Linked DNA regions of Rhinolophus ferrumequinum. The protein of the gene in region 3 binds, or shares a complex with, the protein of the main gene of each other region. Links are inferred from orthologs where the notes say so. Each region holds a gene or a part of one and is shown on either strand. Other genes may lie near its edges. The genes, in order: KAT6A, BRPF1, ING5 and JADE3.

Evidence for each region.
Region 1: ING5 (region 3) and KAT6A share a complex: the UniProt entries of both Homo sapiens proteins name them as parts of the MOZ/MORF complex. The link is inferred for Rhinolophus ferrumequinum from reciprocal best matches to the Homo sapiens genes ING5 and KAT6A.
Region 2: ING5 (region 3) and BRPF1 share a complex: the UniProt entries of both Homo sapiens proteins name them as parts of the MOZ/MORF complex. The link is inferred for Rhinolophus ferrumequinum from reciprocal best matches to the Homo sapiens genes ING5 and BRPF1.
Region 4: ING5 (region 3) and JADE3 share a complex: the UniProt entries of both Homo sapiens proteins name them as parts of the HBO1 complex. The link is inferred for Rhinolophus ferrumequinum from reciprocal best matches to the Homo sapiens genes ING5 and JADE3.

The regions. Positions count from the first base shown.
Region 1 is NC_046287.1:58,404,353-58,412,096, reverse strand, and holds the start of KAT6A (histone acetyltransferase KAT6A), read right to left. Parts: upstream 3,023-7,744; 5' UTR 2,901-3,022; intron 728-2,900; exon of another isoform or gene 640-727; intron 331-639; 5' UTR 17-330; coding exon 1-16. UniProt on the Homo sapiens protein: Histone acetyltransferase that acetylates lysine residues in histone H3 and histone H4 (in vitro). Component of the MOZ/MORF complex which has a histone H3 acetyltransferase activity. May act as a transcriptional coactivator for RUNX1 and RUNX2.
Region 2 is NC_046300.1:44,171,338-44,179,117, forward strand, and holds the start of BRPF1 (peregrin), read right to left. Parts: upstream 3,012-7,780; 5' UTR 2,925-3,011; intron 1,073-2,924; 5' UTR 1,063-1,072; coding exon 464-1,062; intron 1-463. Other genes in the region: CPNE9 (copine-9), read right to left, coding at 5,657-5,842, 7,441-7,514. UniProt on the Homo sapiens protein: Scaffold subunit of various histone acetyltransferase (HAT) complexes, such as the MOZ/MORF and HBO1 complexes, which have a histone H3 acetyltransferase activity.
Region 3 is NC_046291.1:127,880-135,357, forward strand, and holds the start of ING5 (inhibitor of growth protein 5), read right to left. Parts: upstream 3,084-7,478; 5' UTR 2,907-3,083; coding exon 2,870-2,906; intron 577-2,869; coding exon 505-576; intron 1-504. UniProt on the Homo sapiens protein: Component of the HBO1 complex, which specifically mediates acetylation of histone H3 at 'Lys-14' (H3K14ac) and, to a lower extent, acetylation of histone H4. Component of the MOZ/MORF complex which has a histone H3 acetyltransferase activity.
Region 4 is NC_046284.1:86,935,952-86,943,231, reverse strand, and holds the start of JADE3 (protein Jade-3), read left to right. Parts: upstream 1-4,242; 5' UTR 4,243-4,273; intron 4,274-4,359; exon of another isoform or gene 4,360-4,659; intron 4,660-6,276; 5' UTR 6,277-6,345; coding exon 6,346-6,358; intron 6,359-7,280. UniProt on the Homo sapiens protein: Scaffold subunit of some HBO1 complexes, which have a histone H4 acetyltransferase activity.

The DNA.
Region 1 (7,744 bases), on a different chromosome or scaffold from region 3:
TAGCGAGTTTTACCATGGTGAAGGATTCGTATATCCATAGAGTCGTTATCCCTTATCCTGATGCTGAGTAAGTTTTACACCATGGAAAACAACATTCTCGGAGGCTGAGAACCAGTTAACCATAGCATACAAGTTTTCTGGCCTAAGTCCTTCCTCCTTTCATAAAATAGATGCCTCCCCACTTTACTTTAGAAACCGCAACTACCAGTTATTTGAAATGTCTTCAAACTTCCCAATAAATTTCTCAATAGCACCACATGTGGGTCTCTTCATAAAGTTGTAAAAACTCAGGAACATGTCACTCCCAGCAGAAGAATGTTTATCTTATGCCTGAAAAACAATGAAAACAAAGTCAGTTTTCTATCAAGTCCCACTTGTAAATAAGCTATAACTGAAACATCCTAGTCTTTAAAAGCAATCAAATAGCAAGTGTTTATTGAGCACCTGTAGGAATTTTAACATGTTTCTATCAACATTCCAAAACAATCATGTATGTAAACCACTGGGATAAATAAGAAAAGAAATGAAATGAGTAATTAGAATACAATGAGGAAACAAAATGAGATGCACTGTGAATAACCTTAGACTACAATTAACCAGAGGGTGCTGGCTATTCTGTGTGCCATAATCTCTGCTCACCAGTCTATGAACTGAAACTCTTCCTTGACATCTTTCCCCAAGAAACTATTCAGCACTTCAACAAGTATCTGGATTAGTAGAAAGAATCCTGTAATGAAAGTAAAAGTGAATCTTTCATCTTTAAAATTCCAGACATTCAGACTGGATAAAACAGTCAGTAGAATAGGCAGAAAACAATTAAGAAAATTTTAACTATTTCATACATTAGAAAAACAACAAATACAATTTACACACACAGATCAAGTTCATACTTTAAGTGCAATATATACTTTAAACATTCCAAATGGAAACAAAAATAATATGAAAAGTAGTCAAGTGGGAAAAGTGCTTAAGGAATTTTTAAATAATCCAATTTCATTCAAATTTCAAGAATTACATGCTGATAGCATCTCCTAAGCCAAACTAAAGTACTTGGAGGGAGTAACAACTGTCAAAATGTTCATAACCAATCTACAGAGAGAGAAACTAGAAATGAGAAAGGCCCAGAATCATTATGTTCAAATGCACAGACTACATATCAAACGTATGGTACAGAAAAAAATTTATTCCCTGTTTGCCAGTCTACAAAGATCTCATAAAGATTCAAGACTGCTGTCCTGAAATGAACATTAACGAATGAAACACAAACATAAATATACTGCCTCTCCAGGATCAAAGTCAATATTCTTCTTTCAGACAAAAGAACCTGGCATATACAAATCTTTTTAAAAATCACCAAAATAATGAATTTTCACAATCTAAACAACTCCTCTGCTTTCAAAACTAAATTTAATTTTACTTTTGTGTTTTTTAGAACCTCTGTTCTTAATCTGAGGAACATTTACATTACAACATAAACAAAAGAAAAAAAAAAAAAAATGGCTCCCACAGCAATTATTCTTACAAGTATCATTAAAATCCAAAGGAAAACTAACAGGTATTAGGAAAGGGATAGTACTATTAACTCGGATAGGAAAAAAAAGGCTGAAGTAAACACTCAAATCTGAGCCAAGATTTATTTTTAATCTGACTAAAAAGAAGCCCCCTGAGAGCTATGCTTCATTTTGGTGAGAGTCTCGAGAGAATAGAAATCATACTATTATTACTCCACGAAAGTTCATTATGTAGATATTAACGCTAAACTAAATAAGAAGCTACAACCTGAGTTTAAGAAGTTGGAAACGTAATTGATTAAGCTCGCAGGTAAAAGAATGAATGACAGTTATTCATTGTCTCTCCGGCCGGGATTTTCACTAGTGTCCAGGTCTTACCAAAGTAAAGGGCCTGCAGACTTGAACTTTACACCAGCGTCTAAAGAGAAAGCACAACTTGCTTCCGACAGTTCTTCCCCGGCCTCCATTCCCCACCCACAAACACATCTTCGCGCTCTCTTTTTAAAGAGCGAGAAACTTTAAAAACTTGGAACAGCACAACCCTGAAGCTTGCCAACGGGTGGCTTCGCCATTCCCATTAGATGGAAACAGAACCCGAGGACTAAGTTAACAATGAAATCACGTGAAAGAGTTAAGAGCAATGTATCACCCGTTCCCAGCTCCTCCAAATCCTCAGCTCCACAGAGGCGGGTTCCAAGGAGGGTTTAGGGCATGCAGGCTACCCGAAGAGCCTGACAGGTCCGGCAGCTCCTGTCCAAACCGGCCGACGATTGACAAGCAGCCCGCCGCCTCCCCTCCCAGCGTCCGGGCTGACAGCCCGACAGACACAACACCACACGTGCTGCCTCCTCCGCACCACAACACCCGCCAGCCTGTCACCCCCATTTGCCGCCTCAGCCCCTCTCGGATCTCCGCACACCCGGCCGCAACCGAAGAGGGAGCGCCCCGGAGCGCGGGCAGGAGGGGCCGGGCGGGCCTGGGCGGCGAGCGCCGGGCGCAGGTGGGGCCGGGGAGGTGGGCGCGCCCCCGAGGGAGAGCGGGCTTGCCGGCACGGCACAGCCCAGCCCGAGGCTCTGCGGCCTGGGCCGCTCGCCGCTTGCCCACCCGCCGACTTCCCCGGCTGGGCCCGGCCCGCCGGCGGGCGGCGGGGACCTTGGGCCGGAGGCGCGCGGACCACGGGGCGGGGAAAGCCGGGCGCCGGCCGGGCGCGAGGGGGCGGCCGTGGCGCCCCAGCCCGAGGCCTGGCGCAGAGCAGCGGGAGGCGGCGCAGGCCGCGACGGGGCCTGCAGCCTCCTGCCGACCCCGCGAGGCGGCGGAGCGGGCCCCAGAGCGACTCAGCCTCGGGTTCGACGGCTGGGGGCGGCCGAGGGTGGCCTCTCGGCTACTTACCGGGGAGGAAGAGAGCCGGGATACCAGGACCCCGGGCCGGACCGCGGAGATGCCCCAAACTGACACGGCCGCCATCTTGGAGACAGTGAGCTCCGGCCGGGGGGAGGGGAGGCGAGGCGGCGGAACAGCCGCGGGGGGAGGGGAAGCGTCGCGAAGGAACGGCTGCCTGGAGGAGGGAGCGGCAACAGCCCGGGAGGGAGGCGAGGGGGGAGGAGGGAGAGAGAGTGCGGGAGGGGGGCGGCAGAGGAGCGGGAAGAGCTGGGCCGAGAGCCGGGAAAGGCCGGAGGGCGGGGCGGGTAAGGAGGGAAGAGCGGGCCGGGCGGGTCACGTGGGGCCGGTACAAAAGGCCAAAGCCAAAGCGGGAGGAGGACCTGATGGGGCTGGAGGCCAAAAACTGGGGGCTCTTTCTAGCCTTTCACACACGGTCAGGTCGGGCAGATACCAGTGAGAGGAGGAGATGATGTATCCCCATTACACAGCTGGGGAAACTGAGAGCAGACGCATGGGTGGGGTGGCTTCAGTGTGGCACGGAAATCCGGTGGCCAGACGGGCTCTGAACTCTTGATGGCGTTTGTGTTTACAGTTAGCAGATCCTCCCTCCCCACTTATGTGCCCTCAGCCCACTTCCACGGTGACTCTCCCGGAACCTGAGGTCGGGAGCTTGTGTGGTGGGGAGGGGGCGAAGGGCAGAGAGGAAGTTGCCTCCCTTCATCGTTCCCCTTCTGCTCACTTTACTCACCCCACACATCTCACTCCTACTGTAGGAAAAAGAGGAGGTGTGTTGAGAAGGGAGAAAGGGTAGAAACTTAGACACTCGTGTCAAGCTCTTTGTCAAGTCACCACAATGATTTCACCCTCCCCACAAATGAGACTTGTTGGACCTTACTAGAGACGTTTTCATAGAAAACAGCATAGACGAGGGTCGTAAGATTTACACAAGGTCACGGAGCTATTTTGTGGCACGCATCTGAGTTTGGAGCCTAGATCTGCCTTACTCCAACGCCTGTCTTCTCGTGCCCTATGCAGAATTGCTCTTGTCCGAATTTATGGCTGAACCACGAACTGGCACTTTTTTCATAGCATGTCTGTCCTCTACTGGTTTCTTTGTCTTGTCTCTCGAGATTGAATCATACCCTTTTTAAATTTTATTTACTACATTCATTGGAAAGGCAGTAAATGACAAATGAAAAGACATACTAAATCGTTAATAATTTTGTGTGGAAGTATTTTCCTGCTACTAGACCTTTATCTGCTTTGTGCATCCTGCGTAGACTACCCTGTTTCCCGGAAAATAAGACCTAGCGGGACCATCAGCTCTAATGCCTCTTTTGGAGCAAAAATTAATACCAGACCCGGTCTTATATTATGTTGTATTATATAAGAGCCGGTCTTATAGTAAAATAAGACTGGGATATTATATTATATTACATTATATTATATTGACCAGGTCTTATAGTAAAATAAGACCGAGTCTTACATTGATTTTTACTCCAAAAGACACATTAGAGCTGATTGTCCCGCTAGGTCTTATTTTCCAGGAAACACGATATTTTCTCTAACATCTCATTTTACCCCAGCTTTACCTTTTAAAGACCACCCTCCCACTCACTCCCTTAACTTCCATGCTTACTTCCTTTTCTGAACTTTTGTAGTACTGACCATTTGCCCTATTCGTTTGACAGGATGTGTGGCCTTTGTAACATTGTATGTTCTTCTAGAATGCCTCTTTGCATCTCCATTACTGTGTTACAAGTAGTACAGACTCAAAACGTTGCTAGTGAATGAAAATTTTTAAGCCACTGAGAAAAAGACGGAATTTCCACCTCCAGCTCAAACCTGGTGTATTCCTCAACCTATACTTTCTTATCTCTTAGCTTTTCTCTGCTCTAATCCTTAGACTGTCTAGACCACTCAATAACAACATAAAAACATATTTTCAGATGATGGTCCAGCCAACTCAATATCCTAGTACTGACACTGAGAACATAAATGTGGTGTGGTGTGATGAGATTTACTTCATCACCCTCCGTCACCTACTTCCAAGCCCCATTGCCAAATTAGGAGAGAAATTTGGAGGTACAAGTTAATCTATTAGAAAGGATATTTTTCATCCTAGATGAATCAGACAGATGCGTTCTCAGGTAAAATGAGAGCTCTTTGTGAAATGGAAATACATACAGGAAAGAAAAGGTGGAGGGAGATTCTCTTTTAAAAGAATAAAGAAAGGTTTTTATTTCCCAAAGAGAACAGATAAAGTCATGTTAATAGAAAGAAAATGAGTTCTTCGCGTGAGACTAGTGTGTGGTCTTCAGAAGAAAAATAACATTTACAGAGATGAACTGTGTTTGCCTTTGGATAATTTGGAAGAAAACTAGCTACAGCCATTCCTGTGAGAAGACCAAACTAGAGTACAGTAGCAAGAATTTAAAACAATTTGCAACAACAAAGAACAGTTTAGCTTTTCAAACAGCTTCCATAGAGAGTCTTTGCTTTACATTTGCATAACTTGAGGGCACATTCAGGAGGTCTTCTCAAAAGATCTGCAACAAAGACAGATTAAAGTCCTCGTCTTTCAAATGTTAAAAAAAATCCACAGCACTGAACAGACAGTTTTTCTTGCTTCAAACTTGACTCAGAATTCAGCCCTGCAGGGTTGCCAGCTATGTTATTTCCCTCATCCACATTTTGCACTAGGAATCCCTGCCTTTTCACTTGTAGTAGGTAGTTACATTTTTATGCTGACTCTAGCTAAGCCTAAAATTGGAAGTTTGCTCTATACTTATTTCAACAGGAAACGCTTTTAGTCCATTTACATTTAATATAATTACTGCTGTATTTGGATTTCTACCTGCCATCTTGCTATTTATTTTCTTTTGTTCACTTACTTTACATCCCTTATTCTCTTTTTTGCCTTCTTTTGAATTAATTAAAATATTTTAATTATACCATTAACCTCTATTAGCTTATTAGTTATACATTCTTTTAGAAATCTTAGTAATTACAGCCTGCCTATTTGACTTATTACACTCTAACATAAATAATTACTTATACCACTTTCCCAATAATGCTAAGACCTTAGAATACTATGTCTCCACCACCCTTCCACTTTTGTGGTTTTTATTGTCACAGATTTTAATTGTGCATATACAGAGGGTGCCAAAAAAATGTATACACATTTTAAGAAAGGAAAACTGTATTAAAATTGTAATACTCAATATATACCGATAACAAAAGATGAATACAAGTCACGTTTGTCTTCTGCAATTACAAGAGGTGCTCAAAGTGGTTACCATCAGCATCCAGACACTTCTGATGACGGCGAATTACTACTTGAGCAATGTTGACCAAAGTGTCCACTTGTATACATTTATTTGGCACCCCTGGTATTTTAAGCCATACAACATTTTATAATTATGTGTTTTCTACAGTCAATATTCATTATATTCACCTACATATTTATTTACCCTTTATGTTACTCCTTGTTCCAATATACATTTTGGTGCTTCTGACTGGAATTTTTTCCTTCTTTCTCAATAATTCCTCTGTTCATACTGTAGTAGGTCTGCTGGTGACAAGTTCTCTCCATTTTTGTTTGCCTAAAAACTTCATTTTATCTTTCATATTTTTGCTGAGTATAGATAGCATTCTAGTTTGGCAAATTTTCTTTTCAGCACTTTAAAGATGTCCTTTTATTGTCTTCTGGTTTCCATCATTCCATTGTTATTCCTTTGGAAACTAATATCTTTTTTCCTCTGGCTCCTTTTAACATTTTTTTTCTTTAGTTTTCCACAAATAATCTGTGATATGTCTAGATGTGATTTTCTTTGTATTCATCCCACTTGGGTTCATGAGTGGCATGTGCCACTCGTGAAGTCCTTTGAATTTGTAGCTTGGTATCTTTTATCTGTTTTCGAAAATTCTTGGTCTTATCTCTTTTTTCCTTTTAAGACTTCGGTGACACATATGTCAGAATTTTTCATTGTTTACCATCTGTATTTACTACCATTTTTTTGACATCTTTCTTTATGCATGAGTCTGTGAATTTTCTATCCATCTACCTAAATCTTCTCTTAAATCTATTTATTGAATTCTTAATATTGGTCATTGTATTTTTAAGTTCTAGAAATTTCATATGATTTTTTAAAAATAAAATCCAATTCATTTGGAGCAATTCTCCATCTTTTTATTTTCTCCACCTTTGCCTATACTTTCTTGAACGTATAAGTCTAGCTATTTTAAATCTCTTCCTGATCATTACAATAGCTAGATCTTCTGTGGATTTTTTTCTATGTATATTCTTTCCACTGACTTTTGGTCAATTTAGCAAATTGAGTCTGACATTATATATAGTGGATAATATATTATGGCCAGCTGGGTTTAATCCCCGGGATGCAAGGCTGATTTACCATTTGAAAAACCAGTCGATATAATTCACATTAGCAAACTAAAACAGAAAAAATTCATATGATCAATTCAGCAGATACAGAAAAAGTATTTGACAAAATCCAACAAATATTCCTGATAAAAATCTCTCAGCAAACTATGAACCTTCTCATAGTGATAAAAGGGCATTTGTGAAAAATCTACAATTACCATGATACTTAATTAAAGACCAATTAAACCATTAAAGACCAATTAAAGACCAATACTTTCCCTTTAAGACATGATCGAGACAAAGGTGTTGGCTGTCACCACTTCTATTCAACACTGCTCTAGATTCGAGACAGATCAATAAGTCAGGAAAATAAAAAGGCATTCCAAATTGGAAATAAATAAATAAAGATCTTTTCTCATAGATGACATGATTTTCTAGCTAGGAAATCCTACAGAGTCTACAAACAGCT
Region 2 (7,780 bases), on a different chromosome or scaffold from region 3:
GTTTCCCAAGGTCACACCGTGATGGAGTGGAGGAGGTCAGGAACAGAGAAGGTATCTTTTGATACAGTGGAAATAGTGTAGCTTCAGAGTCAGAGGAACCTGGATTTGAATACCAGTTCTGATACGTACTGGCATGTGACTCTCAGTAAGTTTGGCACCCTTTCTGAACTGTGGTTTCCTCATCTGTGAAATGAGAACAATACCTACCTGGGAGGGTTGTAAGAATAAAATGAGGGTGTGGCCATAAAGCACCCAGTGCGGGGCCTGGAATGTGGCGGCGTTAACACAGTAAGTGCCACCATCATTAGTTGGGGTACTATTCCGTTCACTGGCCTGGGTGGACCAGTGTGCTGCTGCTGTCCTTTATCCTTGCCATTCTCCTATCTTCTGTTTGTAACTTCTCTCCGGCTCCTAAGCCCTGCGAGACCAGTGTTTCAGAGTTAGGAGGCAGAGGTGGCCTTACCGGTAATAGGAAGTCGGCCGGGGCGGGGCGTCAGGGGTGTCCTGCTCCAACTCCCGGTACACCACCTCTGGCAGCTTGGGAGTAGTGCTGGCGGAAGCATTATGGTGGTGGTGATGGTTCGAGTCCTTGCGCTTCTCCTTGTTCTTATGCTTGCCCGACTTGGGCGTCGTAGCCGGCGTCTCCGTGTTCTCTTTGTTGCTGCCATTCTCAGGGGCCTCCTCGGGAGCCTCCTCATCCTCTGACACCACATCCAGGTTGTCAAAGATGCTGATGCGGTGGACACGGCCATGCAGGTCCACCTCCACCATACGCTGGGCCTGTGCATAGCTCATCACCTCACGGCCCGGGGACTGGGATACTTCTGAGGGGCTGGGTGACTGCTTGTTGGCTGGGCGGGACTGGCGCCCCTTCTTCTTGTGCTTGCGGAGTGGCGTCTGCTGCGGGGGCGGCGGGTTGTCGTGGTCATAATGGTACAAGTGGTACTCGATACCACTGTAACTCTTGTAGACCTTGCGGCAAGTCTCCACGGGGCACTCATATGGTGGCTTAGTCGCCCGCAAGTTGTGGCAGAAAGTCTTCACGTCAAAGTCCACCCCCATGCTGTCACATCTGGAATTTATAGGTCAGTTAGCATAGACCCAGGAAGAGCTCCTGGCCATTCACTCCACTCCCTCCAGCCCTCCCTCTCCCCAAGGATCCTGGCTAACCCACCTCCACAGGATCTCCAAATGCCATCTGCTTCACACCATGGCCATAGTCTGAGCCTCATCACCTCTTGCCTGGTCATTCTAACCTATGTCTCAACTCTTCTAGCGTCATCTTGCATAACGTGGCCAGAGTGATCTTTCCACTAAGTAGCAACAATCATTTCAATTTCTTGGTTAAAAGCCTCCCGATGCTCCCTACTTACTTCAGGATAATATCCAAACCCCTATGACGACATGTAAGATGCTCTTTCACTGTCTGGCCCTGGTCCTCCTTTTTAGATTTTTCTTTTCACCAGTTACAGCTGTGCTTCTGTCTATCCAGGGCAATTTACCAGTCCCTGAATGTTATAACCTCTCATTCCTGCAAGATGATCTCTATTTGGAACACCTTCCATCCTCTGATTGGTAAGCTCCTACTCATTCTTCAAAACCCAGCTCAAATGTCACTTCTTCTGTTATGACTTCTTTGTCTCTCCTGTGGGGAACTGTGCTTCCATAGCTTTCCATTCTTACCTCTTTGTCTCCTACTAGACTGGGAGCCATTCAAGTGCAGTCACCAGAGCCTACCCATCTCTATATTCCCAGTACTTGGAATGTTGTGGACACTCCGTTTTCGGCAAATGAATGAATAAACTGTCAAATGATAACTAAATGAGGGGACCACCAGATTTGGAGCTGAGAGAGACAGATGAAAGCTAGTGTTAGCCCATGTAGACGCTTGAACGGGTAGCCAATGATTTAGTTTCAGTCTCCAGCAGAAATCACTGGATTATAGAAATAATTTGTTCATTTCTGAGCTCTTTTGGGGAAGCCTATGCCCTGGCCCTGGCCCTGGTACAGGCCCTACGGGTACACACAAGGCAATCCAGTTACACTCAGCTCCATGCTGGTCCTCAGGGCCCTCCCTTTCTCCTCTCCAGTGTTCCTAGGTGAATGGAGACAGCAGATGGCACCAGCCCCCAGGAAGTCCAGCTTGGTCAGAGACTGCCCCAGTTTCTCCAGGCATAGTGGAGTTTAACAATTCAGCTAGGGGCTTGGCACTATTCCAGGCAGTGCCACCCTGAGCTCCATGACAAACAGTGACCCCTCTAGGCCTCTCTCCTCCTGTTACTTAACCAAGCAAATGGGCGGCTTCAGACTCTCCATCAAAGTCCCTGACTTTCCACATCAGTAAAACTATTCCTTCAACTCCAGCTCACTTCTACTTTCTTCCTACCTGGGGCTGTGTCTTGAAACACAGACCAAGTGGAGGAACAAACAACCTCTCCACTTTCAATGAAGGGTCCCTGGTGAAGGCTGCGGCTCTGCTTCCCCGAGCAGATGTCCCGCTGGGACTCAACAGCAAAGGCACAGGGGAGGGAGCGAGAACTTAGACCTGAAAGCCCGTGGGTAGGGCCCGGGGCCCAGGGGTGTGGCGGCGGTGGAGCTCAAGGGGCTGGAGGAAGTAGGGGGCGGGGGCCGGAGGGATCAGGCCGGGCCCAGGCGGTGCCCGCAGCCCTCCCGGATGCGGCGACGTTTCCCTTTTGTCGAAGTGTAACAAGTTAAACAAGGCTCCCCGTCTTGCCATTGGCCCCGGCAGCCCCGAAGAATACAATTTTGCCCCAGGATGCCGGCTGGGAGTGAATGCCCTGTCAGTTCTCTCGGCTGGAGTGGCCCGAGGGGCACCCGGGCAGGGCAGCTCAGTGCGCCCCCACGAAAGTAGCCAACCCTTTCCCCGCTGGCCACTCCCGCCCAGGTCCCAGGCCCGCACTCACCGGCCACCTCGAGTCCGGGCTCATCGCCGGGGCTGCCCGCCGGGGCTCCGACCCCACTTGGGGAGGCCGGCGGGGAAAGATGGGCCGGGGAGGAGAAGCCCCAACTCCGAAGGCTGCAGACCTCGCCACCCCGGCCCCCTGCCGCCCCACGCTCTGGCCCCGGCTCCCCGGGATTCCCGCGCTGACCCCTGCCGCTCCGGGTCCCGCCGGCGCCCCGGTGTCTCAACTCCGTCGTCCGCCTCCCGTTTCGAGAGCCCCTAAGTTGCCGGGTCTTGGACCCGGCGCCGCCTGAACAATGGAGGCTCCCGGAGGCAGCGGGGTCGGCGGCAGCGGAGACGGTGGCGGCAAAGGCAGGGACAGCAGCGGCGGCAGCAGCGGCGGCGACGGCGTCTGCGCAGGGTAAACGTGGTGCCGCGGCGCTGCCGAGCTGCACTTTCGCCACAGAACCCCGCCCGCCCGCTGAGGCTCCAGGGGCCATACTCTGGGACTCGGAAGGGTCCCTGGACACCCCACAAGGTTTCTCTAGCACCTCCATCTTAGAGGTGAGTTTCTGGAAACTGAAGTCGCGGTACTCGCGATCCGGAGTGGTCGGGCCGTTTATGGCGAATCTGCGGCCACGGACGGCGAACGCGGGTCTGGGAGTGAGGAGCCCGCCCTTCTCCCTTCCCCCTCAGCTTCCTCCCTCCCTTCTCACTCCCTACTGGTGGCGCCGGGGCTGCGGTAGGGACCTGGCCTTGGTCTCGGAAGAAGGCGGCGAGGCGGGGCCGGAGCCATGGGGCGGGGCTGGGGGGCAGGGACCGGAGCATGAGGGACGCGGGCTGGAGCCTAAAGGAGGCCCGGAGTTATGGGTAGGGGCGGGGCGGCTGGAAGAGATTGAACCAGTCTACGGGGCGGGGTTTGCGGAGAGTGGGTGGGGCCATCTGTAGAGTGGGTCCTAGTAAGAATAGGGACTGAACGAGGGCTCAGGGTGGGGCTAAACTGAAGAGTGGGCCTGGGGAGCTGGACTAGGGAGAAAGGATAGAGCTGGGAAAAACGAGGGGAGGCTTGAAGGGAAGGGGCGGGGCTTGAGTAAGGTAAAGGGGCGGGACTGGAGGGAAAGGGCGGGACCGGGTTAGGGACACCGGGGTGTGGCCGAAGGAAAGGGAAGAATCTTGGGAAAGGTAAAGGAACGGGACTGGAAGGAAGGTGTGGATCTGAAGGAAGGGGCCAGATTTGGGGAGGTGCAGAGGGCTGTTGGGGTGTGAAAGGGCTTGTGTACCGTCAAATGGGATTCAGATGCCAGGAACCCTGTAGGTTGGAGGGGAGATGCATCATGGCTGCAGGGATGCCGGCTGGAAGATGGTTGAAAAATAGACAGCTGGTTTTAATGTGGCTGGGCTACTTAGTGGCTCTGTGAACTAGTGCAAGTTGTTAAATTCTCCCTACCTCAAATTCCTTATTTGTAAAATGGAGCTTGAAAGCTTTATTGTTAATTCATGGGGGCTTTGGAGAACTTAGGCTGCGGAGAGTTGACTTGTTAAATAATGCTTGTCGCAGAGCTTCTCCAGTTTTGCCATCAAGGAAGGGAGTGAATGCCCTGTCAGTTCTCCGGGCTGGAGTGGCCCGAGGGACACCCGGGCAGGGTATTCCGTGGTTCTGGAACAAAGCCCAAAGGATCTGGAAGCTTCACTTTTTTGTATTGGGGAATATTGGGGGACAGTGTGTTTCTCCAGGGCCCATCAGCTCCAAGTCGTCCTTCAATCTAGTTGTGGAGGGCGCAGCTCAGCTCCAAGTCCAATCACCGTTTTCAATCTTAGTTGCAAGGGGGCTCGTGAACTGAACCAGCAACCTTGTTTTTGAGAGCTCGGGCTCCAACCAACTGAGCCATCCGGCTGCCCCACTTCACTTTTATGTTAACGCATACCTTGCATTCTACCCATTATAATATATGTGTTTTCGTATATAATGTCTTCCAAAAAAACAATAAAATTGACACTCCAGGAAGATGTTTGCTAGTTAAGATGTTGGGATCTGGAGTCAAACTGATGAGGTCTCTTCAATAAGTTACTTTATCTCGTGTGTAAAATGGAAATATAGTGCCTATGTCACAGGATTTTGTGAAGATTAAATAAAATGATGCTTATAAGTCTCAGCCTAGTGTGTGATATGTAGTGAACACTCAAACAAAACATTAGCTATTTTTTATTATCCTCACTCAAAAAAATAACAAATGGGTCAGAGCAGAGTCATACAGTCATCTTAAAGTCAACTACTTTTCAGGTCAGGAATCCCTTTGAGGGTCTGATGAAAACTATGGCCTCTCTGAGAAAAAAAGTATACACACACACACACACACACACACACATAGTTTCACTTATTTCTGAAAGTGTTTAAAGAATGAGGAAATGATCGGATGAATATGTATTAGGATGGGGATGAACCCAGCTGAAGCCATCCTTGCTACCCGTCCTTCTCTTGGTGGGGTGCCAGGCCCTGGGTCCCCCAGTCTCCCTCCCCAAAACCAATGAGACAGAGGTGGAGTAAAGATCAGCTTTATTATTTGCATGAAGGCAGGGAGGTGGTGAGAGTGCCAGGCCCTTCTGTGGGTGAGGGGGCACAGGGCTTGACCAGCCAGCACTGATCCTCCAAGCTGGCCTTCCAGTGAGTTCCAGGGCTCCAGGTGCCTCTGGCTTTCAGCAGAAGCAGTGGGTGGGCATGTGGGCAGATTGCTAGGCATCGGATAGGTAGGCCCCTCAGGGCTGCTCAGGAGCTGGGGTTGGGTTGGGGTTGGCAGGGGGTGGAGGACGAGGCTGGATGTCTCTGGTGCGCATATAGGACAGCAGCTGCTCCGGGATCTCCGCCAGCACGTCCTTGGCTAGTCGGGCCATGCTCAGCACCTGGTTCCCCGATCGGTCGACATAGTCTCGGAATGGGACAAACTGGGACAGGCAGAGATAATCAGGTATGGGTGGTGGCCAGGAGAGAGGGGAGTGGGGTAGGGGGCAGTAAGGGGGCTTCCGCTATGACCCCCTAACATCTCTTTACAAATATCACACTATCTCTCTCCACCTATTTTGTATAGTTTTCTGCATTTGCTTTCTCCCCACCCACTTCCCCTCCACACACCTTCTAGTTACTCTCAACCCACTCCAGTTTGGCTTCACGCAGTTTACTGCAATGGCTTTTGCTAAAGTCGTCAACAGCCCCATATTCCCCAATCAGTCCAGTGGGCAGTAATAGTCAGTCCTCATCTTGCTTCTCTTCAGCTTTCCATTCTTACATTTGACCATAATCTTCCTGGACACTCCTGACACACCACACTCTGCTGAATTTTCTCCTACCTTTCCGGATGCTCCCTTTCCCTACTCCCCTAGACCTTTGGGTCTACCTGATCTATAAACTGGTCCCTTCTGTCTATCAGTTGTCTTCCTGGGTGATTTTATACACTTCATTAACTAAAACCTGTTCCCTGGTGACTCCCAAGTGTATATATCCACCCCTAGCCTCTTTTGTAAGGTCCAGATCACATACTTAGTTGCCTGTATCATATCTCCGTTCAATTGCCCTAGATACCTCGAACCCAATGTGTTCACAACTGAATTCTAGCCTGTCCTGCCAAATCTGCTCCTCCTTCACCTTTCCCTTTCCCAATAAATGGGACTCTCACTCACCCAGTTGCTCAAGCTAGAAAACTGAGTCATCTTTGAAGCCCCACTCACTCTCCATCACCATTTAATTAAATCAACTCTTGTAAAATTTTTCTTAAATAATCTTTTGAACCTGCTTCTATCCTCACTGCTTCCATTCCCAACCAGATTCCTTTCATCTCCCCTCTACTACTACTTCAAAGGCTTCTAATGGCTCTCCCTGCCTTCTCTCTCACCCTGCTTCAGTCCATCCTCCATTTGCAGCAGCGATCCTCTTAAAATGGAAGTCTGACCATCTCACTCCCCTATGTAAAATCCTTCAAGAGCTTTTCAATTCTTTTGGAGTAAAACCCCAAATGTTCACCATGACTGACGAGGCCTTGGCTCCTTCTTTCTCTCACTTGCTGTGATCTTTGTACCCTGGCCTCTTGCCTTTTCTGTGATTGGGCCAATTCTTCTGAGCCTCAGGGCCTTCTCACGTGCGGCTCCACTGCCTGTAATGTTTATACCCTCCTTTAAGTTTCAGCTCAAATGTCATTTCCTCATGAAACCTTTCCTGACTACCCTGTTATAGGCTTTTGTAGTGGCATTTGCTGTTCTAGGGAGCACTTAATCACAATTTAGTGAGGTATTTAGCTGTGTGATTATTACTGGTTGCCTCCACTAGAGGGCAGGGGCCTTGAGGATCTCCTATACTATGAATCCACAATGGCTGCAGCAACCTGCCTTTTTCTCACCAAGATTTTGTTCAAGGAATGCAGGAAGGCTGAAAGAGTGAGGGGAGAAAGGTAGGAGATTAAGAAGGCAGTAAGGTAGAGTGGCTGCCAACTTGGCCTCTCCTTCCCACCATGCCTTTCAGCTCCATGACTTCCTCTCCCTGGTGAGTCTACCTGAACGATGTCCCGCTCTGCGTAGCGTCCTCTAGAGGATACGCGCACATCGTCACCATCCAACTCTTCCATTGCTGTAGAAAAAACACCCCTCAGCTGATTGGCCTCTCCCACATCAACCCATGCTGGCCCCCTCCCTCTTAACTCCACTTCGAAGTCATGAAAATGCCTAACAGGTTATATCAAAAGTCCTACAATTATTAGGCATTATTATGGAGTTACTATTGCTTCCCACACATTCCATCCTCCTGGGAATCCCAGGAGGGAAGTATTCATATCAGCAGCCTTGGTTGTGATGAGGAAACAGGTTCAGAAAAGGTCTGTGACCTTTTGGTCAAGG
Region 3 (7,478 bases):
CCACCACTGGTCCAACACAACTCAGATTCACTGGGAGACGGGAGAGGAGGCGAGCTGCATGAGCCGGGTGGGGGCAACTGCAGAGTAAGTCCATTTTCCATAACAACTGAACAAAGTCTAAAACTGAAGGTTAATAGAATAAGAAATAGCAGCAAAATGTGAGGCTTAGAAACAGGAACTTAAATATCAAGAAATCAAAAGCACTAATTTTTTAATACTATACACACATAGTTTGAAATTAGAAAATCTTTTAAAGGGAAAAAAGGTCACAGATATTTTGTGTGTAAGGAGGGGATGATACTTATAGAGATGTGATTTGAAGATGTGTAAGAATCCAACGAACAAAGTTTGATTTACAGTATCAGCACTCTCGCTAAGACACCGTCAAACACCCACAGCCTAGGGCGAGGCTGCGGCCCCTCTGCACCGGGTCCCCTGGTGGCCCAGTGCCACTCCAGTACCTGGTGCCACCTCTCCCTGGCTATACTGAAGGCAAAAACCCACCTTCTGTCCTCTGGTCCAGCTCTCGCATCAGCTGGAAGTTCCTCTGAAGTTCACAGGGAAGGTTCTCGATACCTGAAACACACAGACATGGAGTTCTCAGTAGCAGCACACAGATCTGCCCTCTTGACTTTATAGCTAAAGTTTGCAGATAATAAGCCCACTTTGTCTTCTGTTTCTGTTAGGGTTTGGGAGCACAAGGATTAAGAAATCTTTTACGTAGGGACAAGTGAGTACCAAACACTGGTAACAGGCCACTATACTTCAGAAGTTGTCAAAGCTGGAGAAGTTGGAGGTGAACTTAGAAACAAGCTATGAGCAGAGGCTGAGAAGGTGGCCGTGTGACCTTTTACCCCAAACCCCTCCCCACAGCCAGCCCGTCCCAAATCCTGGAGTCTTCCTTGGTTTTCCCCCACTTGACTCTGCAACCCAGTGCACTGCTAGCACAGACCAGTGCTGTTGGGCAGAACTTTACACAAGGATGGAAATGTGCTCTGAGCTGCCCAAAACATGGGCACTGGTCATACAGGGACACTGAATGCATGAAACAAGGCTAGTACCACTGAGGGACTGAATTTCTAATTTCGCTCAAGTTTAATTCATTTCAAGTTAAACAGGCCGTGCTGAACGGCACATGATGAGGACCTCGCCCCACGCTGCTTAGCCTGCACAGCCATCCTCCTAGTGCAGGCCAAGCTCCTCCCAGCCTGCACAGCCTCCACAAGCCCCTGACTGGGCTCCTGCATCAGGTCTCGGCCCCCTCCACACTGCCCACCGGCCAGTGGCCAGCGGTCATTTTAAAAGCTCAACATAATGTTTCAAAGCCACTGCTTAAAGCCCCAGCACTCCCCAGCTCACCCCGAGAGCCGCCCAAAGTCCCAGCCCTGCCCCCAGACTCCCCAGCCTCCTGCCCTGTCCTACCACTCAGGCCTCTGCAAGACTCTCAAGGTCTGCTGGGCTCCTTCACAACCCTTAATCTTGTGAGCTTTCTAAAGTACTTCTGCCCATTTGACAGGTGTCAGGAAAATGGGGATTGTGACTGTTTCCCTGGCACACAGCAGGTGCTCGAGGAGTGAGCAGGTACCTACGTGATGTGACTCAGGTTCCTCAGACCCTCCCACAGGGCCCACTGGGCAGGCAGCGGGACACAGAAAGGCAAGTGGCCGTGCTCCCTAGCTGGGTACCGGCCTCTTCGGTGACAATGCGGGAAGTCTAACCCTACAAGTGCTCAGGATGGGCAGGCAGAGCGCAACAAATGGACAGGACTGGGCGACCCCCTGAGGAAAGCTGACCCCCACTGTCTCCCCCAGAGCAGGGGCTCACTCCTCTCAGCGGCCTCGGGAGGGGCGCCCAGGCCCCAGTGACCATGACTATCCCCAGTGCAGCACAGCGATCCAGAGCCACCCAGTCCAACCCCACCCAACATCCCCCCAGGCCATGCCCCAGCAGGAACCAGACAGCCAGAGTCCACACGTGCATGCCCCCGACAAGCTACTCAGCCTCTGCGAAATGAGGGGCATAACCATCTGCTCAGGAGTGGTCAGCAGGGTCCATCCTGAGCTACAGGTAAACAGAAGGACGCCTGCGGGAGGAGCCTCAGAGACGTTGGCCATGAACACCTTAACGAGCCCCGTAAGTACCCCCGCGGAAAGGCAGGCACCCTGGGAGGCCCTGCACGCCAGCATCACCTCCCCATCTTGCAAATGCACAAGCTGAGGCTCAGAGCCAAGAAGCGAACCCGGGGACCCCAGGCACGGAGCCCCCGAAGAGTTCAAGGGGATTGGGATCACTTTCTTGGACCTGCGCAGTGGGGGCGGGACCGAGACCGAGACGGCAGAGGGGCGGGGCCGAGCCGAGGTGGATGGGGCCTAATCGGGGAGGGGTGGATGCGGAGAGGGTGGGAGCTATCGAAGGAGGGCGGGGCCTGGGAGAGACGGCGGGGCCAAACCGAGAGGCCCCGAACCAAAGAAGGTGGGGCCTCACAGGGGCGGGGCGTAGGCAGGAAAGAAGACGCCAGTCGGGGAGGGGCGGAGGCGGAAGGGCGGGGGCCGAGGAAACGGGCGGGGCCTGTTTAGAGGAGGGCGGGGCCTAGCCGAAGGGGCGGGGCAGCCCGCATTGGCCCCGCCCCGCCATGACGCATATAGAATTGGCGCGGCCGCGATGGCGGGACCCTGTGCTGCACACACCCTCCCCGCGCGCGCGCGTCCCTCCTTCGTACCCGCCCCGCCCCACGCGCGGCCCCGTCGCCCCCTGGAGTCCCGTAGTCTCCACGACCCCCGGGGTTCGCGCGCGAGTCCTGACGTGCGGCGGGGCACGGCAGGGAGGGCCCTACGCGGGCGGCGGCCCAGGGAGCGCGGGGGACGCTTACTGTCCAGGTAGTGCTCCAAGTACATGGCGGTCGCCATCTTCGTCCGCGGCCGCGCTCTGGGTCTGCGCGGGCGGGCGGCGCCGCGAGAGGCAAGGGGGCGGGGCCGGTACGTTCACTATTAATGAAGCTTGCGCGCTGATTGGCCGGCCGGCGGCGGCGGGTTGATGGCAGGGACCGCCCCCTGCTTTCCGGTCGGCGGGGTGCAAGCGGTGTCGCGCGGGTACGGGGCTGGGGTCCCGCCGGCGGGGCAACTGCAAGATCTGGGCGCTCTCCTGTCCCCGTGCCCCCGCCCACTCGGCCGACCGACTCTGACACGTGGCTCGGGGAGCCTACGCCCACTCCTGTATGGGGTTGGACGCAGAGTAGGTGCCTGCGAGGAGTGACAAACGTGTTCCAGTGGACGAGGGGGTCACCGAAGTGCACCGGATGCGCGCAAAAAAAACGGGGAGACGGGACACATGTTCGTGGGGGTTAAAGCGGTGTTTGGGCCGGCGCACACGTTTCTTCAGCGCTGGCTGCTCCCAGGGCTCCTCGGAGAAGGGGTTCTGCGGGACCTCCGCCCGCTCATTATGGACAGCTGGCCATTAGTCGGAAGGGGTCTGGGCCCGGAACCACACCCCCTACTTGGCCCCTGAGATTAAGGGAGTTGGTCCTACAAGTGGCGTACCCTGACAAATGAATGAGCAGTAGTTTCATTATTGAAAAATGCATTAAGATGTATCCCCCTTTACTGAAGTCTTCGCTAAACCCCAAATATTTAAAAATGGAAGCGTATTCGTGTTTTGGCCAATTGTATGTTCATCATAAAAATTCAAACTATACAAGAACATACAGTTCCCCCCCCTTGGGTGCAGGACTGTGATAATCTTGTTCACCTTTGAATCCAAGTGGTAGTTTGGGTACATTCTTTCTGGCTGCATTTAATGCTTGATTAGAAAACGTGCACACACACGTAATTTAAATACTGTCCACCTTTTTTATTCTTTTAAGTGGCGAGGTTTTTTAAATTAATAGACTTTATTTTTTAGAGCAGTTTTAGGTTTACAGAAAAATTGAGATGCTATAGTTCCTATATACTCCCTCCACACATATAGAGTTTCCCCTATTATAAGTATTTTGTATTGGTGTGGTACATTTATTAATTGGGTGAAACAATATTGATACATCATTATTAAGTCCATAGTTTACTTTAGGGTTCACTCTCATACAGTTAAGTATCCACCATTACAGCATCATACAGAATAGTTTCCCTGCCCTCAACATTTCCTGTGCTCCCCCTATCCATCCTTCTCCCTGCCCTCCCCCACCCACACCTATAGATTTGCCTTTTTCAGAATGTCAGTTGGATTCACACAGTATGTATGGCTCCTGTCACCTAGTAATATGCATTTAAGTTTCCTCCCTGTCTTTTCGTGGCTTGATAGTTCCTTTCTTCTTAATGCTGAATATTTCATTGTCTGGATGGACCACAGTTTATCCATTCACCTACTGAAGGACATCTTGGTTGCTTCCAAGTTTTGTCAATTATGAATAAAGCTGGTATGTTGTTTCTTTCATACAGGTTTTTGTTTGGACATAATATTCAATTCCTTTGGGTAAATACCAAGAAGTGTGAATGCTGAATCACACTGTAAGACTACATTTGGCTCTGTAAGAAACTGCAAACTGTCTTCCCAAGTGGCTGCATTATTTGCACACCCCACTCCCGGAGGTGACTGAGAGTTCCTGCTGCTCCACATCCCCTCCAGCATCTGGTGTGGTCACTGCCCCGAATTGTGGCTGTTCCAATAGACGTGTAGAGGTGCCCCATTCTCTTTCCACTTCCCTGAGAACATGATGTTGGGCACCATTCACGTGCATATTTGCCATGTGTATTTATCCTTTGGGGAGGTGTCTGTTCAGATCTTTTGCCCCTTTTTCAGTTGGGCTGTTTGTTTTCTTATTGGCGAGTCATACTATCCACTTTTTCACTATGTACATCTTTCACTTAATATGCTTCATGGATTCTGGCCATGTTTTGCTCAATTCTTCATCCTGTTTGCTAGATGTATTTCATTGTGTCACTATGCCACACTTGAACCAATTCCTTACAAATGTACAGTGTTTCTATAAGCAATGCTCTGGTCAACAATGGTTCATATAGAGGTAGGGACATACAAATGTCCCAGTTACCTATTGCTGCATAATAAACAGTGTTTTAAAAGAACCATTTTATTACAGCTCACAGTTTTTATGAGTCAGGCATCCCAGCAGAGCTCAGCTGGGTGATTCTCCTGTTCCTTGTGATACCATAGAGATCACTGGGGTGGCTGGAAGGCTGCATTCAACTGGCACCTTGGGTCAGAGTGCCTACATGTGGCCTCTCCAGCCCTGCGGTCCCAGGCAGTAGTACTTCTTCTGTGGCCACTCGGGGCTTCCAGAGAGTTCCAGGAGGCCACAGTGGAAGCTATAAGACTCTTGTCCCAAGACATCACCTCACTACATTCTATTGGTCAAGCAATTCCTTAGTGCCAACCCCAATTTGAGGGGAGGGGAAATTAGACCCCACCTCTCAATGGGAGGAGTAGCAAGGGTTGTAGCCATCTTTAATTACCATGTTGCCTTTGTTCTTTCAGAAATATTCTTAGAAATGGTATTGCTGGCTCAAAGAGTAGTGTATGTTCTAAGTGCTGATGCTTTCTTTTTTTTTTTAAGGAGAGCACAGCTCACAGTGGCCCATGTGGGAATTGAAACGGCAACCTTGGTGATATTAGTACCACACTAACCAACTGAGCTAACCAGCCACCCCAGTGCTGATACTTTTAAATGAACTGACACCCCACTAAGGATGTTTCTACATTTTTGTTAACCCTAGATTTCATCAGGGTTTTTTATCTTTGCTAACATGATAGAAAAAAACCCCAAAAACCAACCTCGGTGTTTCAATTTGTATTTCATTTTAAGTGAGTCTAAACATGTTTTCACAGATTTGTTGGCTATTTGTAGTTTTTCTATAATTTTCTTGACGTCCTTTACCCATTATCCATGGAGAAATTGGTCTTCTTGCCTTTCATCTAAAAAATAACTATTATCATAGAGAATAATAAATCATATATCATGCCCATTGTGTCATATAAATAGTTTCTGCCAAATAAGTTTGTCTTTCACGCACAGAAGAAAACTGACGAATTCTCTTAGAGACCCTGTTTTAGAAGCTGCCAGAGTGAGAGCTGATTGCCTTACTACCTCTTTTCATTGCTATACACTCTAGTGTGGGGTTTCCCAGCCTCGGCTCCACTGACATTTTGGGCCCGATACCCTGCTGTGGGGGCTGTCCTGTGTCTTGGGGGCTATTTAGCAGCATCCCTGGCCTCTGCCCAGTAGATGCTGTGAGCACCCTCACCAAAGTTTTGATAATCAAAATGTCCCCCAATTGAGAACCAGTGCTTGAAGGGAAGGCTAAGCTACTCTACCAAAGAAACCCAACCAAATGCAGTGGTTAAAAAAAGATAGAATTTTCTCTCTTATCTAACAGTCCAGGGGCAGGCAGCTATGCTCATGGCATCACTTGGGGACCCAGATTCCTTCCAGCACGATGTCTACTCCCAAAAGGGTTCACCATCATCTTCATGGTCAAAGCTGGGTTGAAGGAAGGCAGGGAAGGAAAGAGGGAGAAAGTTCAGTCTGCAGTCTGAAGGAGCAAATGCCACTTCTGCTCACATTTCATTAGTGGTCACTTCGTCACCTGGCCACATCTAAGTGCAAGGAGAGCTGGGAAATGGATTCTAGCAGGGCAGTGATGTGCCCAGCACAGTCTCTTCTTCTGGAAGTAGGTAAGTGCTATGGATGAATAGCCCCCCAAAATTCATAGTTCAAATTCCTAACCTCCAATGTGACTAGAGGTAATTAAAAAGAAGAAACCAGAGATCTCTCCGTCCCTCCCCACACTTGTACAGTGGAAAGGCCAGGTGAGGACACAGCCAGTCATCTGCCACCCAAAGGAAGAGTTCTCACCAAACATCAACCTTCCTGGTGTCTTGATCTTGGACTTCCAGTCTCCAGAACTGTGAGAAAATAAATCTGATGTTTAAGTCGTCCCATGTGTGGTATTTGTTATGGCGGCCCAGCTAAAAGAGAGACGTTGATGGATAGTATCAATGTCTGACACAGTTCCTGTGAGACGGAAGGTGCAACACACTGAGGACAGTAAAAGGGTTTGTGTCTTTTCTCTTTTAATAGTAAATCTAACACACAAAAGTAGAACCTAATGAACCCCGGGTACCCATCAACCAGTTTCAGCAGTTATCAACTTCGGACCACATTTGTGTCACCAGTCTGCAAGCACACTCAGACCCAGCATTCCGTCATCTCCTCCATGCAGTGGGCACCCTGGTGCTCGCCTGCCTATTGGAAGGACTCCACGGGAGCACGAAGAAACCACCCTCATACTGGGCACACACGCTGCATCGGGCCTGAGACCGGCCAGGGCAGCAGAGCACAAAGGAGATAACGTCCAGCTGCAAGGGCTCTCCTGTGCCCACCTCAGGGCCACAAAGCAAGGACTGGATGCCTAGAAATGCTGCAGTCACCCTGTGACCAGGAAGGAAAAGCTAAGAGAATTACTAAGATG
Region 4 (7,280 bases), on a different chromosome or scaffold from region 3:
CTCAATGATTCACTAGGAATTCAGCATATAGTCAGAGTCATGGCTATGATTTATTAAAGCAAGAGAACACAGAGCAAAATCAGCAAAGGGAAAAGGCACTTGGGGCGAAGTCCAGAGAAAACCAGGCACAAGCTTCCAAGAGGCCTCTCCCAGTGGAGTCACATACGACGTACCTAAGTCCTCCAGTAAAGAATTGTGACAACACATGTGGAATGTCTTCTATCAGGGAAGCTCCTCAGAAACTCAGTTCCCAGGGCATTTACTGGGAGTTGGTCATGTAGGCACCCTCTGCCTAGCACTTACCAGAATTCCAGACTCCCAGAAGGAAAGCAGATGCTCAACGCAAACCATATTGTTTGTACAAACAGTTTAGGCACAGTGAGCCACTCTTATCAGTCCTGGGAATGGTGGGAACTCACCCCAAATCCAAGTTTCCAGATGCCATCCAAGGACCAGCCTTGCAAGCAGGCCTTTCAAAGAACAGCAGTCAGACCTGCTGCTAACTCTTTTTCTGCACAGCTTGAAAATCAGGAGACTTGAATTCTAGCCCCAGCATAAATCACATTTATACAAACAGTTTAGGCATAGTGAGCCCCTTTTATCAGTTCTGGGAATGGTGGAAACCCTCCGGACCTCCAAGCTTCCAGATGCCCACCATGGGCCTGCTACGTTAACTGTTTTCTGCACAACTTCACAACTCTTTTTATGGAGCCAGGATTATACCAAAACCAGACAAAAACAGTATAAAAAACACCCTCAAAACTTCTCTTATGAACTTTGACACAAACATCTACAACAAAATATTAGTGATATAGAATCCAGAAAGGTATAAAAAGAATTCTACCATGGCCAAGTGGGGCTTATTCCAACTATGCAAGGTTAGTTCAAAAATCAATATTCAATCAGTGTAATCTACCATATCCACAGGCTAAAAAAGAAAAATTGTATCAATTGATGCAGAAAAAGCATTTGACAAAATTCAGCATTCATTTATGATCAAAACTCTCAGAAACTAACAATAGAAGGGTATGTTCTCAACTTGGTAAAGAGCATCTACAAAAAAACTGCAGCTAACAGTTTTCTTAATGATGAAAGATGGAACATTTCCACCTAAAATAGGGAACAGGGAAGCATGTCCACTCACACCACTCTTACTTGACATAATAGTGAAAGTTCTAGCCTGCACAATAAGGCAAGAAAAGGAAATAAAAGGCATACAGATAGGAAAGGAAATAAAACTACCCATATTCATATTCACAGACAACATGATTGTCTATGTAGAAAATCCCAAAGAATCTACCAAAAAAAACTCCTAGAACTAATAAGGGATTCAGCAAAGTCGAAGGATACCAGATCAACACACAAAACTTAATAATGAACAATGAATGAGGGAGCTGGCATTAAAAACACGATACTATTTATGATTACTCCAAAGAAAATGAAACACAGCATACACTTAACAAAACACATACAGGATCTGTATGCTGAAAATTTCAAAATGCTGATGAAAGAAGTCAAGGAAGATCTAAATAAAAGGACAGACACGCATATCATGTTCATGGATTGAAGACTAAATATAGTCAAGATGTCAATTTTCCCCAAATTGACATACAAGTTTAACACAATTCCTATAAAAATCCAAGCAAGGTATCTGTATAGATAAGCTCATTCCAAAATTTATGTGGCGAGGCAAATGACCTTGAATAGCTAAAACAAATCTTAAGAAGTATGAAGTGGGAAGAATCACTCAACTCAATGTTAAGGCTTACTCTATAGCTATAGTAGTCAAGACTGTCTGATATTCACAGAAGGATAGACACATAGAACAATAGAACAAAATAGAGAACATAGAAATAGCCCCATACAAACAGTCCAACACAAATATGCCCAACTGATTTTGACAAAGATGCAAAAGCAATCAATGGAAGAAAGATAGTCATTTTAACAAATTGTGATTAAGCCATCAGACATCCACAGGCAAAAATATGGACCATGACCTTAAGTTCATATTTTATACAAAAATTAATTCAAAGTGAATCATGAATTTGAATGTAAAATATAAAACTATAACACTTTTAAAAGGAAATATAAGAGAAAATTTGTGGGACTTGGAGCTAGGTGACACCAAAAGGATGATACATAAATGCAGACATTGATAAGTTGGAATTCATCAAAATTAAAATTTTTCATCTGCAAAATCTCTTAAGAAGATGAAAAGACCAGCTACAGACTTGGAAAAATATTTGCAGACCACATATCTGACAGAGAACTTGTATCTAGAATATAAAAAGAATTCTCAAAATTTGACAGTAAGAAGCAAATAATATATTTAGAAAATGGGCAAAAGACATGAACATATATTTCACCAAAAAAGATACAGATGACAAATGAGCACATGAAAAGATGTTCAACATCACTACCTACTAGGGAAATGCAATTTAAAACAGAGATATCACTACACACCTAATTAGAATGGGTAAAATAAAAATATAGTGACAATACCAAATGCCGGCAAAAATGTGGAGCAAGTGGATGTCTCATACATTGCTCGTGGGAATGTAAAATAGTACAGACAGTCTGGAAAATTTTGGCAGTTTCTTATAACACTAAATTTACACTTACCATCTCATCCAACAATTTGCACACTTGGACATTTGTCACAGAGAAATGAAAACTTACGTTTACACACACACACACACACACACACAAACTCTACATGAATGTTCATAGCAGTTTTATTCTTAATAGGCAAAAATTGGAGACAACCCAAATGTCCTTCAATGGGTGAATAAACAAATTAGTGCATCCACAGCATAGCAATACTACTACCCAGCAATAAAAAGGAATGACCTATTGATAACATGCAACAAATTGGGGTGGATCTCAAGGAAATTCTGCTGAGTGTAGAAAAGCCAATTTCAAAAGGTATGATTCCATTTACATGATATTCTTGAAATAACAAAATTATAGAGATGGAGAACATGTTAGTGGTTGCCAGAGGTTGGGTTAGAGGAAGGAGATGACAGTGACTATATTGGGTAGCAGGAAGAATCTTTGTGGTAGAGGAACAGTTGATTGTGGTGGTTACCCGAATCTACACATGTGATAAAATTGCATAGTACTACACACAGATACAGAACATTACATGTAAAACTGGTGAAATCTGAATAAGGTCTGTGGATTGTACCAATGTCAATATCTTGGTTGTATAAGATATTACCATTGGGGAAAACTGGGGGAAAAGTACATGGGACTGCTCTGTAATATTTTGTACAGATCCTGTTAATGTATAATTATTTCAAAGTAAGTGAAGTATAATAAATGATGTAAGTGAAGGACTACGAATATTTTAGAACTCATACATTTGCATATTATAAAATAGAATTATTTTTAATATGGAAAACAGACAAAATATAAAAGAGCCCACATTTGTGTTTAGCCTAGACATGTCAATGAAAATGACAATGTGTTCATGGTAATTGCACAGGGTACACAGCCAAACCCAGACAGGTAAATCAAAAAGGTTTTGTTGCCTAAACATCTGTTATGAGTCAGGATGCCACCAGAGAAGCAGACCAATAGGACATTATATCTATGTCTATAAAATTTGTTCATTCATTCATTCAAAGATATTGGCTTACACAATTGTGGGGTTGGCTAAGCAAATCCAAAATCTGTAGGGCACACAGACAGAAAGGAATGATCAGCACCCCCCCCGCCCCGATTATCCAGAATAATCTCCCTTACTTTAAATCAATTGATCAGGAGCTTTAATTACATCAAAATATCTTCACACCAACAGCTAGATTAATGTTTGATTGAATAACTCGGGGCTGTAACCTAACCAAGTGGACACGTCAAAAAACTACACAACATCATGAAGCAACTTTGTAAGTGTATTCTGTGAATAGCCACCTTGGCTTTATCTTTATGGGTAATCCAAGCGCTAACGATTTAAATCAATAGTGCCAGACGAGGAGTTTTCTCTACATGAGGGTCCACTTATAGAACTTCGGAGTTAAAGGGGGCTGTGAAAAGCTTAGTTTGTATTTGAATATAGCCAAGGCACCTCCTGTGGTCCTCCCTGGCACACGGCGGGGCCAAGGCTCCTGGCGGCAGCAGCGCACCCAGCAGGAGCAGAGAGAAACCCACCTGGAGCACCGCGCGACGGGTGCGGGAGCACGAGGTGGGCGGAGCCTCGAGGCGCTCTGGCGGTAGCAACGGCTCCCAGCCCGCCAGAAGGGCGCTCGGCGGTCGGCGGGGAGCCAGTCCGGTAGGGCGAGCGCGGCCAGCGGTGGTGGTGGGGGGGGAATGCGGGAGGGGGAGGAAGGAAGGGGAAGAGGCGGAGCGTGGGAGCCCACAGTGTCAGGAATACAATAGTGCTCCGCGCCGCTTCAGCCGCCGCGGTGCCGCCGCCGCCCAACCGCTCGCCGGGCGTTGAGGCCTGACGGGCCCGGAGGGCGAGGGCCGAGGGCGGGAGCTGAGGCGCAGGGGGCGGCCCCAGCGGATCGGGCGGGGGGCGGGTGGAGGGCAGGTGCGAGGGAGGGGAGAGAAGAAAGCGAGCAGTTCGGGGGGCGGTTACCACTCCAACCGGACTCGCCCGGCACAGTGCCGGGCCGAGCGTGGAGCCGGGAGGGAGCTTCGACTGGCTGCACGAAGGTAGGCGCCACTGAGGCCGGACGCGATGCGAGTGGGCTGGGGGGCGGCGCGCCGGGTGGGCACGGGAGGGGCTGCCTCGGGGAGCCGGAGCGGGCGGTGAGGGGCGCAGCGTCCCGGCCCAACCTCGCGGCGCTCCAGGTCGCTCCGGCGTCCCAGGCGACTGGGGGCCGAGAGCGTGTGTGCGCTGAGGTAAAGTGACCGGCAGTGGTCGGCGCGGGGGGCGGGGGCGGGCGCCCGAGCTCGGCTGCAGCCACACTCAGGCAGGCGTGGAGCGCCATAACTGTTGCGGCGGATCCCTCCGGTGCCCCTTCCCGACGCCCCCTCGCTCCCTGTCCTCTGCCTGGTCTCGGGGCTCACGGGGTCAGACCCGCCGCTGGAGGACCTGCTCTGCGGGACGCCTGGAGCCGGATGCTCCCGGGAGCGAGGGCGCGCCCTGGCTGTTTCGATGTTGGGGGGCGGGAAGAACCGTGAGCCCGGAGGGGGGTAGGCGGTGAGGGGAGCGGCGAGGTCCTGGGTGAGCCCGGGCGCCCCGCGGGCTGGCGAACTTTCCCTCCCCCTCGCGTCATTGTTCTGGCGCTGCTGATCCGGGTCCGCCACGACCACCGAGTGCCGGGCGGTCCGGGGGGTGGGAAAAGCAAAAGGGCTTTGCGACGCTTCTGGAGAAAATTTCCCACCGCTGAGCTCGGCAAAGTTAACTTTTCTCCAGCGATCAAGTTGGTCTTATTCTCTCCGCCGTGGGGCAATCGATTAAAAAAAATATATAGACTCCCTCCAATCTTTTTCTCTCTCTTTTCAGAGCCACTGCTTCGGAGAAGTCTGTCTCTAAATTGCACAGGGCAACCTGCGTTTATTATTTGGGAGAAGGGAAGGGGGGCGTGATCTCGAGCGAGTGACCATAATGGTGGTAATGTGAAGGCATGTTTAAAAGTTGGTAGCATTGTGTAGCCCTGGGACATATGGAGCGCCTAGGCATTTGGCAGGAAACTTTTTTGGGCGCTTCTCTGACTTTCGGGGTTGCAAGGAAATACATGGCCTCAGATGTGCACGAGATTTTTTTAAAGTGAGATCCGTTTATCTGTGAAGCTGAGGAGGAGATCCCAGCGTCCCCCCGTCCACCTTCCGCCGTCTGATTGTATAAGAAATCAAAACCATGTTGAGGGTGATTCCACTGGCCTGGAGGGAAAGACAACCTCGTTCCCTGTATTCAGTCTGATAAAGATAACTGTCTGCTTCTCTCTAAACTCTAAAATAATTTAAGTAAAGATTAGTTGCACAATATCTTGGCTTACTTTAAGGAACCCAGAATCCACTTTCCCAGAGTAGTTCTCTTAAATACCTTCCCTGCAGCCACTTCTTGTCAGCCTGGGGGTGGGGGAGAGGGGGTAAGAAAGGAGTGGACCCGAACAAAGCATTGTTTTTATTTAATTTAATACTTTCTTGACATCTGTAAACAATGGGAATGTGGATCCCAGCCTCTGTACACTTTGAATAGTGTAGTTCTCATAAAACATCATATGATTACTCTCCAGATAATTGGGAATAGATGGTTTTTTTTCCTTTTTTGTTTAGCCGAGGAATATTCTACCTCTATAACATATCTTTTTTTTCCATTTATAGTGAGCTCTGAGCTTAAATATTTGAACTGTAGAAGGATAATACCTCTCTTCAAGGGGGTGAAGGGATTACATGAGGTGTTTTGGTAAGTGTTTCTCAGTGTGAGCTACCATCATTGCCACCTTTTCAACTGTGCTTTTCTATAGTTTTGTTTGCTAGAAAAGAGCTCTCAACCCAGTCTTGTTGCCGTGAAACAGTGCCTTTGTCTGGAATACTCAGGGGTTCTAGAACCCACACTTTCTGGCTCACTGGTTTCTGAGTTGCCATGCTCTGGCTTGGCCTTCTCAGGAGTAGGAGCCTGTGAAGCTCCCAACTCCTTCCTGAAGTGTCAGCTAGGAGCCAGGAGTGACTTGGAAGCAGCCTTGACCCACCATCTGGCCTGTAGAGAAGGTTCTCGGGCAGGACAGATGATCGTTGGGAGCTCTCATCAGAGTTGAGACATGAAGAAGAAAGGGTGTAGAAGACGTTCAGGTTGAGTATGGTCCTCTTCTTTGATAATGCTTGTCCTTTCCCTCCCTTGTGTTTTCACTGCCACAGCAACCCATTTCTCCCCTAAGCTACACAAAGCCATTTCTTCTTTTTGCCCACTACTTTGAGGTCTGGCTAGAACTAGGCAAGTATCTGGGGGGAAGTTGGGGAGGCAGGAAGCAGCGGATGTTCGTGAAGACATGGCATTACAGAGGGCTCTTACAAGCCTTGAGAAGGGACACAGGTTGAAGGTAGAGGTCCGACGCTGGCTGACATTAACATTAAGAAACTCTCTCATCGGGATAACTTACTATAACCTTTACTTACCTCATGTTATAGGTGAGGGATGGGTGTTGGGGGACACCCCTCTGGCACTCTCCTGAAATGGCTACTAGTGGGACACTTGAATGGTTTACAAGTTTCTACCTGTTCCAGTTACAGTGGCTGGGAAAGCTGAAGCATTCTGGTTTGTGGGGTGGGGAGGATCTAGAATGAGAAGGTAGAAGTGGTGAACGAATAAAAGAGTGCTAGCAAGTGGT